Cricetulus griseus: one gene and its partner. The protein of the gene in region 1 interacts with the protein of each later gene in a pairwise test. Links are inferred from orthologs where the notes say so. Each region holds a gene or a part of one and is shown on either strand. Other genes may lie near its edges.

Region 1 (3,898 bases):
AAACCATTACAAACTCCTTTACAACGTGGGGGTCATCCAAGTACAATGAACCATGTGTGCAACTGTCAGCACATTTTTGCCAACAGATGAATTTATATGATGGTATCACTCTGAAATCAGTTTGCAGAAACACATGGCATACTAGAAAATTCCCAGTATTGTACCGAATAGAATATGTTTGTCAATGTTTCAGCTGCATCCTTAGCTGACCTTAGCATGAAAAGTTTTGCCTCATTTAAATGTCCAAAATATCTCTCTCAAGCAAGCCAGGCATGAATAAACTTATCAACAAATACACAATGAATAAATAAAAGGACACCCATTTAAACTGCAATGTGATGGTTGAAGGCCATTTGTCTAAGGACTCTTCTAAATTCCTGAGTCTTTTTATGCTGTTAAATCACTAGTAAAAATCAGTTGAAGCCAGGCATGTTAGTGCTGTCTTTAATCCCAACACTCAGGAAGAAGAGGCAGGTAGATAAGTTTGAGGCCAGGCAAGTCTACAGAGTAGTTCCAGGACAGTAAGGGATGTTACACAGAGAAACCCTTTCTCAGAAAAACAAACAATCAAACAAACAATCAGTTGAAAGCATAGTATTCAAGACCTTGATTTTGATAGAGTGATTAATTTCATGATGGAAAACAAGAATTTTTTCAGGATTATTGCTAGTCTTCAATTCTTATACAGAGTAAGCCAATTGTAATGATGGAACTAATGAAGAATTAGAGGTTGTTCTTCAGAGAATCAGCAAAACTACCAAGCAGCCAGGGCAAGTCCTCCAGCAGTGCACTTGCTGAGCCCCAGCCTTTCACCACATCACAGGTACCAAAAGCTTCTCACTAACTTGACAAGTGTCATCACAAAATAACACTATTTATGTAAAACAAATGTCTGCTGAATAGGAATTACTACTACTTAGTTTGCCCTGTTCCACTTCATAATACGAGTAGGAACTGGCAGCAGTTGTTATGTATTTAATATCATCTGATTGAGCATTGGCCATAGAAAAGAACACAATTAATAAAACTGTAGTTGTCAACTCAGATCTCCTTCACCTATTTTTAATTATTATTTTAATAACTGCAATATATTGAAAAATATGCATTGTAGCTATTGTGACTATGTATCCCTTAAACTGAAATTACAAAGCCAGCCATTATACATTATTCTCCAAAATAACACATATTTGAAAATAATTTAATTTATTTCTTCAAAGATTTCTCAGATTGATAATTCCGCTTTACTATTCGGAGTTTAAAAGGTTGCTTTAAGAGCATTTAAAAATTGGATTTATCTAAAAAGCAAATTCTTCATTACTATCAATGAGCCTAATGAAGTAAGTTTCCCCTTTCTTAAGATGTAGATCTATGATTAATAAACCAAGAGCAAAAGCAAATTTAATGTCTAATTAATTTGGGCACTATGTAAAGACAGTAAGCACAGTCTAATAAAGTAGCCAGAACCTTAGTCAGAACTGCACAGAAACAGCAGATATGCTTGTCTAGAAAGCATGGAACCTTTGGAAAGCTGAGACACAGAGTTAGCCCTCCTTCATTATTTTTAAGTATGACAATATAAATAATATTCCCTTAGTCATTAATCGTATGTACTACTATACCTAACTATGTTGTTTTAAAATTGCAGATATAGGGAGCTGAAGAGATGACTCAGTGGTTAAAAGCACTGGCTGCTCCTCCAGAGGACCAGGGTTCAATTCCCAGCACACATGGCAGCCCACAATTGTCTGTAACTCCAGTTGTAGGAGATTCAAAACCCTCACACAGACACACATGCAGGCAAAGTACCAAGACACATAAAATAATAAATTAAGAATCATTAAACAACAACAATATAATAAAACAAAATTTCTAAGATATCTAAGAAAGAAAACAAATCACTTACTGAATAGCTAAAGGTAAAAGTATTGCTTTCTTTCTGAAATTCTGTATTTTCCCATATTTACTTTTGAGCAAGTCAGGATGCAATAGTCTAAAACTCTTTATCTCACTTCTTTCAAAATTGTTCATTCATGTTATTAACTGCAATACTTAAAGTATTTTAAATATTGAAGAGTACTTTTCACAATGTATTAAAAGAAATGCTTCATGAACTTTAAACCTGAAGCATTGTGAGCTGGTGAGATGGCTCAAAGAAAAATGCTTGCTAACAAGGATGAAGGACCAAGTTCCACCACCAGAGGCCTTGGGGAAGGAAAGAACTGATTCACAAAAGTTGTCCTCTTGGCCATCACATATGTGATTCAGCACACACACACACACACACACACTCATGCATGCATATGCACAGACACATCCATACATACAGAAAACACACATAGAATCGCATTTTACATATATTTGAGGCATATTAATGAGTGTACCAACTAATTTCTTGGTATTTATTTCCCGAAGTGCTCTAAGAATAATAGAACTGCTACTTGAATGTGAAACAAAATCCATCAATAAAATCAAATTTGTGGGAAGCTGTACTTACTGAGACATCTTTCAGTTCTTTCTCAAGGGAGAAATGGCACGACTCTCTAGAAAAGATGAATTTGTATGTGTCAGATCCTGATCCTGAAACCAATGCTTTTCTCAATTCATCAGCATATTTTTCTTTCTCCATAGCCATGTCATCAGCTTCTTGGGAAATCTCCGATTCAGAAACTATGGGAAAGATTAATAAAAATAATGAATAATAAGTTTCTATTGGAAAACAAGTACTTAGTTGTTACTACTACTTTATCAAATATAACAGGTTTTTGAAAAAATAATAAAATCAAAATGTTTCCCTGTGGCTTTTTAAAATACCTTTAGTGCTATTTGTCCCTTTTTCCTCCCTCTCCTGTTCTCTCTCTCTCTCTCTCTCTCTCTCTCTCTCTCTCTCTCTCTCTCTCTGTCTCTCTGTCTCTCTTCTCTCTCTCTCTACATATATATATATATATATATATAATAATATATATATATATATATATATATCTTCCCCTTCAGTATTTTCTCCTTTGCCCTTTTAATGCACTTCTTGTATCCTACAACAAGCTCTTTTTCTTCCTCTCCAATCATTACACCCCTTTACTTTCCCAACTTCTGTAGTTATGCCAAACTACATACGCAAATCTATGTATCCAGAGCTAGGAACTGTCCGTGTGTGTGTGTGTGTGTGTGTGTGTGTGTGTGTGTGTGTGTTTAATGGATTTATGCCACATGGATAATAACACTCCCTGCAGGAACAATTGATTACTAAACAATTACTCCAGAGCCAGGCAAGGAATGCCTTCAAACTGTTGGTCAAGGGACTTAGAGAAACACCAAACATAAGATACTTCCATTGTCCTTGGCTACACCCCTACAACTTTAGAGGAAGTCGATATTTCTGAAGATAACATACACTTCCCATACAGACCTTAAGGAATTGAACCAGTACTGACCTGAAAGCTTTCCCTCTGAGGATTAACACTCATAGTATCAGAAAATGCTATGCAACCTGACAACAGACAAATGTAATCAACAGTTCTATACAACTGGAAAGTCTACAAAGCAAAACAATACTTGGCCTGCTAAGATATCCCCAAAGGTTAAATAGTTCTTTTTATCTTGGTAATGGTAATAATCATCAGCCATCTATGGTGTACTCAATAAGATAGAAGTGATGCCTGGTACTGTAAACCTAGTCAACTATCAGAGGGTGGAGAAGACACAGACCCTCGAGTAGGACTGCTGTTTCCCTAAATCAATATAGAATCTAACTGTATGTTAAGTGTCTTTCTTTATTCTCAAAGATAAGTTTAGTTCTCAGCCCCCATCAAAGAAGCTTGGTTTTGCAATAGATGGAGGTTACTTCAAAGATCCCCAACTAATAAAACTGAAGAGAATGAGCAACTTTGAGGTCCTAAGCCCC
Region 2 (3,898 bases), on another chromosome or scaffold:
CTTTAACCCCAGCACTTGGGAGTCAGAGGCAGGAAGATCGCTGTGAGTTTGATGCCAGCCTGGTCTACAGACCAAGTTACAAAGAATCCCTGTCTCGAAACAAAACAAAACAAAAAGAAAAGTTATAAAATCAGTAACTCATAAGCTTTTAACTACTGTTGTTTTGTTTATTCCATTTCATTATTGTTGCTATTAATCTCTTAATGTGCCCAATTACAAATCAGGCTTTATCCTAGGTGTGTGTTGTGTGTGTGTGTGTGTGTGTGTGTGTGTGTGTGTGTGTGGGTGTGTGGTGTGTGGTGTGTGTGTGTGTGTGTGTGTGTGTGTGTGTGTGTGTGTGTGTGTGTGTGTGTGTGTTAACTGGCTTCTAGCTCCCAGTGGAGATCTTAGAACATCTGTAAGCAGGGAGCAACTCTGTGAATGCTTGGGAATCTCTGTGTGCTGATGTAATCAGCACATCTTTTTTTCCTCTAAAACTTGTGGGTCTGAATACTTTAAATGGCAAATTAAATGTTAGGGTCTCATATTTCCTAATTCAGAGATATCTAAGACAGAATTCTGACAGTTTCTTATCTCCCAAATGCTTAACATTTATCATTACCCAGATCCTAATCTCATGTATGTGTAGATCCATTTCTTCGAACACTAACTTTTTCATGTGTCATGTGTTTTCTGTGTGAAAAGGGTCACAGGGATATGAGAAGTACCCCAAAGCTAAGAGACCTTGAAAGAATCAGTAAGACTTGCTAATTGATGTGCCATGGAATGGAGGCCAGCATGAGAGAAGGGAAACAGCAAACCTTGGACTATAGTGCAGGTGATCAGGACAGTGGCCATGACACTCCACATAGTAGAAACATGAAGAAAGAACTAGGTCCCTTTTTTTTTCTTTTTAAAAAGTTAAACAGGTGGACACTCATGACCACATAAGATAATGTAATATAGCATAGTATCAGCATTAAAGCAACCACACTAGAGGCTGAGTATTTAACTTCTCATTTGTAGCCCTTCTGAAATGCTGGGTCCATAGATTTTCTACATGTTGCAGCTAAGGGTTTGCATTGCTTGTGTATTGTTCTGTTGCCACCTGCCACGTTTCTTCTGTGTCTAGCTAACATGAGCCCTTACTAGCGTTCCACACATTTTCAGAGTGCTAGAGCTTTGGCACAAGACAGTGAATGCAAGAGAAATCAGTGCAAGGAAAATGCTGTCATATCCCTAGCTGTCTTACTTTCTGATGACATTTAAAAGCTGTCAGAGAGCCTGATGCAGTGGTGTGATAAAGTGCGGCAGATGTTTACAAGCTGCTTTTCCAAATGTGTTGGCACATTAAAAAACAAACAAACTAACTAAACTGCGCAGTGGTGGTGCATGCCTTTAATCCCAGCACTTGGGAGTCAGAGGCAGCAGAGTAATCCTATCAGGAAGGGGCAGGGCATAACATAGCTGACTGGGGTGAAGGTCTGGCAGCATGGTGTTATTAGGGACCCTCTATTTGATTCTCATGAGCCAAGTTAGTCACAGGGACCTCACAGTGTGGACAGTTAGACTAATAAACAAATGATCACTTTAGTGCCCATTGTTATGTGGGATATTATTTTAACTGGGCAAAGATGTGTTACATTTGTTTATGCTGTGAAGTATTACTCTATGTAAAGGTGTGTTACATTTGTTTCTGTTGCATTTGTTTAATTATGTAAAGATGTTGCTGTTTCACCTTGTCTGCCTAAGGCACCTGATTGGTCTAATAAAAAGCAGAACATCCAATAGCTAGGCAGAGAAAGGGTAGGTAAGGCTGGAGGGCAGAGAGAATAAGTAGGAGGAGAAATCTAGGTGTGTGTTTATGTGTGTGTGTGTGTGTGAGAGAGAGAGAGAGAGAGAGAGAGAGAGAGAGAGAGAGGAGTGTGGTGGAGAAAGAGAGAGAGAGAGAGAGAGAGAGAGAGAAGAATGAGAGAGATGAGAACAAGGGAAAAAGAGAGGGACACACCCAGGGTCAGAAGCCAGGCAGGTGCTAGCTAGCCAGACATAGAGACAGCAGGAAAGTAAGATATAAAGAGAGGTAAAGAGCCCCGAGGCAAAACATAGATCAAGGGAACAGAATAAAATAAGAGCTAAGAGGAGGCCAAGCATTCATAACTAATAAGAAGTCTCCGTGTCATGGTTGGTGGCCCAAAAGAGAAATCCTGCTACAGCCAGTTCTAACACTCAAAGTAGTAAGCTAAAGATTAATTAATTCATGCCACAGGGAGACATTTTCCAACAGATATCCCTAACCCCAGTTGTAGTGGTTGATGTGTTGTTTGCAATACGCTGTTTTTCAGTCCGAGATAAAGATAATGATGACGGTGGGCACCCCAGTGAGAATGACCTGAACGACAGCTTTCTGGAAGACGATGACGAGGAAGAAGGATACGAGCCGACAGATGAGGATTCTGACTGGCAGCCAGAAAAGGATGACGAAGAGAAGGAAGATGTGGAAGAGCTTTTAAAAGAAGCAAAAAGGTTTATGAAGAGGAAAAAGTAACTTTTCTGCAATAATAAAACTCACATTTGCTTTGCCTTTATGGGAAATGTCCAGAAACTGAGTAGTAACCATTTTCTTTTAATAGCTCTTCCCACTTGAAACGTTGAAACACCAGCCTTTAGTGACGTAGGTGGAAGCCATGTTGTTGCCTGTTTGGTGCCTATTAGTTCATCTGTCAGTGGAAGCAGGTACAGAGGTTAGGCAGCGTCTGATACTTTTTCATATACTTTACACACTGCTAATAAAAGCCATAGTTAGTACACACCTTTGACCTTCGAGGTATACCGTGCAAGCTTAGCTAGGTGATTACAGGACAGTGGAGGGCATAGAGTCCCTCACAAAGCTAGACTTGAACAAAGTGACAGCCAGTGCAGTGTCTGTTATTTTTCTAATGCATTAGATGTGGCTTTGTGATTTCATTTACTGCCCTTGTCTGTTGAATCCTGGGGAAATTATTAACAACCAGATGCTGAAAATGATCCTGTTAAGCTGTGGGGAAGCAACACTCACCTTGCAAGGAAACGTTTTCTGCACACCCCGCAGCTGTGGTTGTCTTCACAGCACACCCTTCCTCATTACTTTGCTTGCACTGTGTAGCTTTACAAGTAGGATGTCCAAAAGCTTCCAGCATAGTTTTCTCAGACGGTCTCCTCTGAAGAAGCCTCTGCTCCAAGTTAGTGGGGTACATCTCCTCACTCCTGTCCTTGAACCGGGCTCTCAGTAACGCTTCGCTTTAGGCAGCTTTGAGTTTCTAGGAGCTCAGTTTTCACTGTGAGTAGAGTCTGTGCGCACAGAGCTGGAGCAAGCAGCAAGCGCCTTGTCATCCTTTAAGAGGAAATAGAAATGTGCCCGATATGTTTTCTTAGTCTCTGCATGTAATTGTATAATTTAAATTTTACTTAAACCGAAGAAAGACAAAATAAATATTTATACTTTTCTCAGATACTTTGACTTCTTTGCAAACTTGTTTTTCCCTTCTGTTAGATTCTCTAGAAGAACAGAACCGATAGGATTATGCTACAGGGGGATTTATTAGATTGGCTGACATGGTGAGGGCTGGGTAGTCCTTATGGCTGTCTTCACCCTAGAGAGGCGGAGGACCAGGAGCTGCCCAGTAAATGAGTCCCAGTCTGGCGCTGGTGGCCTAGAGGACTCCAGAGAGCTGCTGATCCTTGTCAAACTTTTGAAGGCCAAAAAAGGGAGATTCCAGTGTTAGTGAAGGAGGCAGGAGTGGGGTTGACGTGCTCACCAGCAGGGGATGAAGGTGGAGGCAGAAGCAGCATCGATTTTCCCTCATGGCTTTAGATCTGTATTTAAATCTGTACCTTTTGGTGGCAGCCCCCCTGGGGGGAAGGGTCTCTGCCACTCCCCCAG

The links. The genes of interacting proteins can lie anywhere in the genome.
Region 2: the proteins of DNA repair protein XRCC4 (region 1) and Aplf interact in binary tests that used the Homo sapiens proteins (3 or more experiments, as listed by UniProt). The link is inferred for Cricetulus griseus from reciprocal best matches to the Homo sapiens genes XRCC4 and APLF.

The regions. Positions count from the first base shown.
Region 1 is NC_048595.1:308,960,515-308,964,412, forward strand, and holds part of DNA repair protein XRCC4, read right to left. Parts: intron 2,668-3,898; coding exon 2,495-2,667; intron 1-2,494.
Region 2 is NC_048601.1:55,693,344-55,697,241, forward strand, and holds the end of Aplf (aprataxin and PNK-like factor), read left to right. Parts: intron 1-2,321; coding exon 2,322-2,524; 3' UTR 2,525-3,469; downstream 3,470-3,898. UniProt on the Homo sapiens protein: Histone chaperone involved in single-strand and double-strand DNA break repair.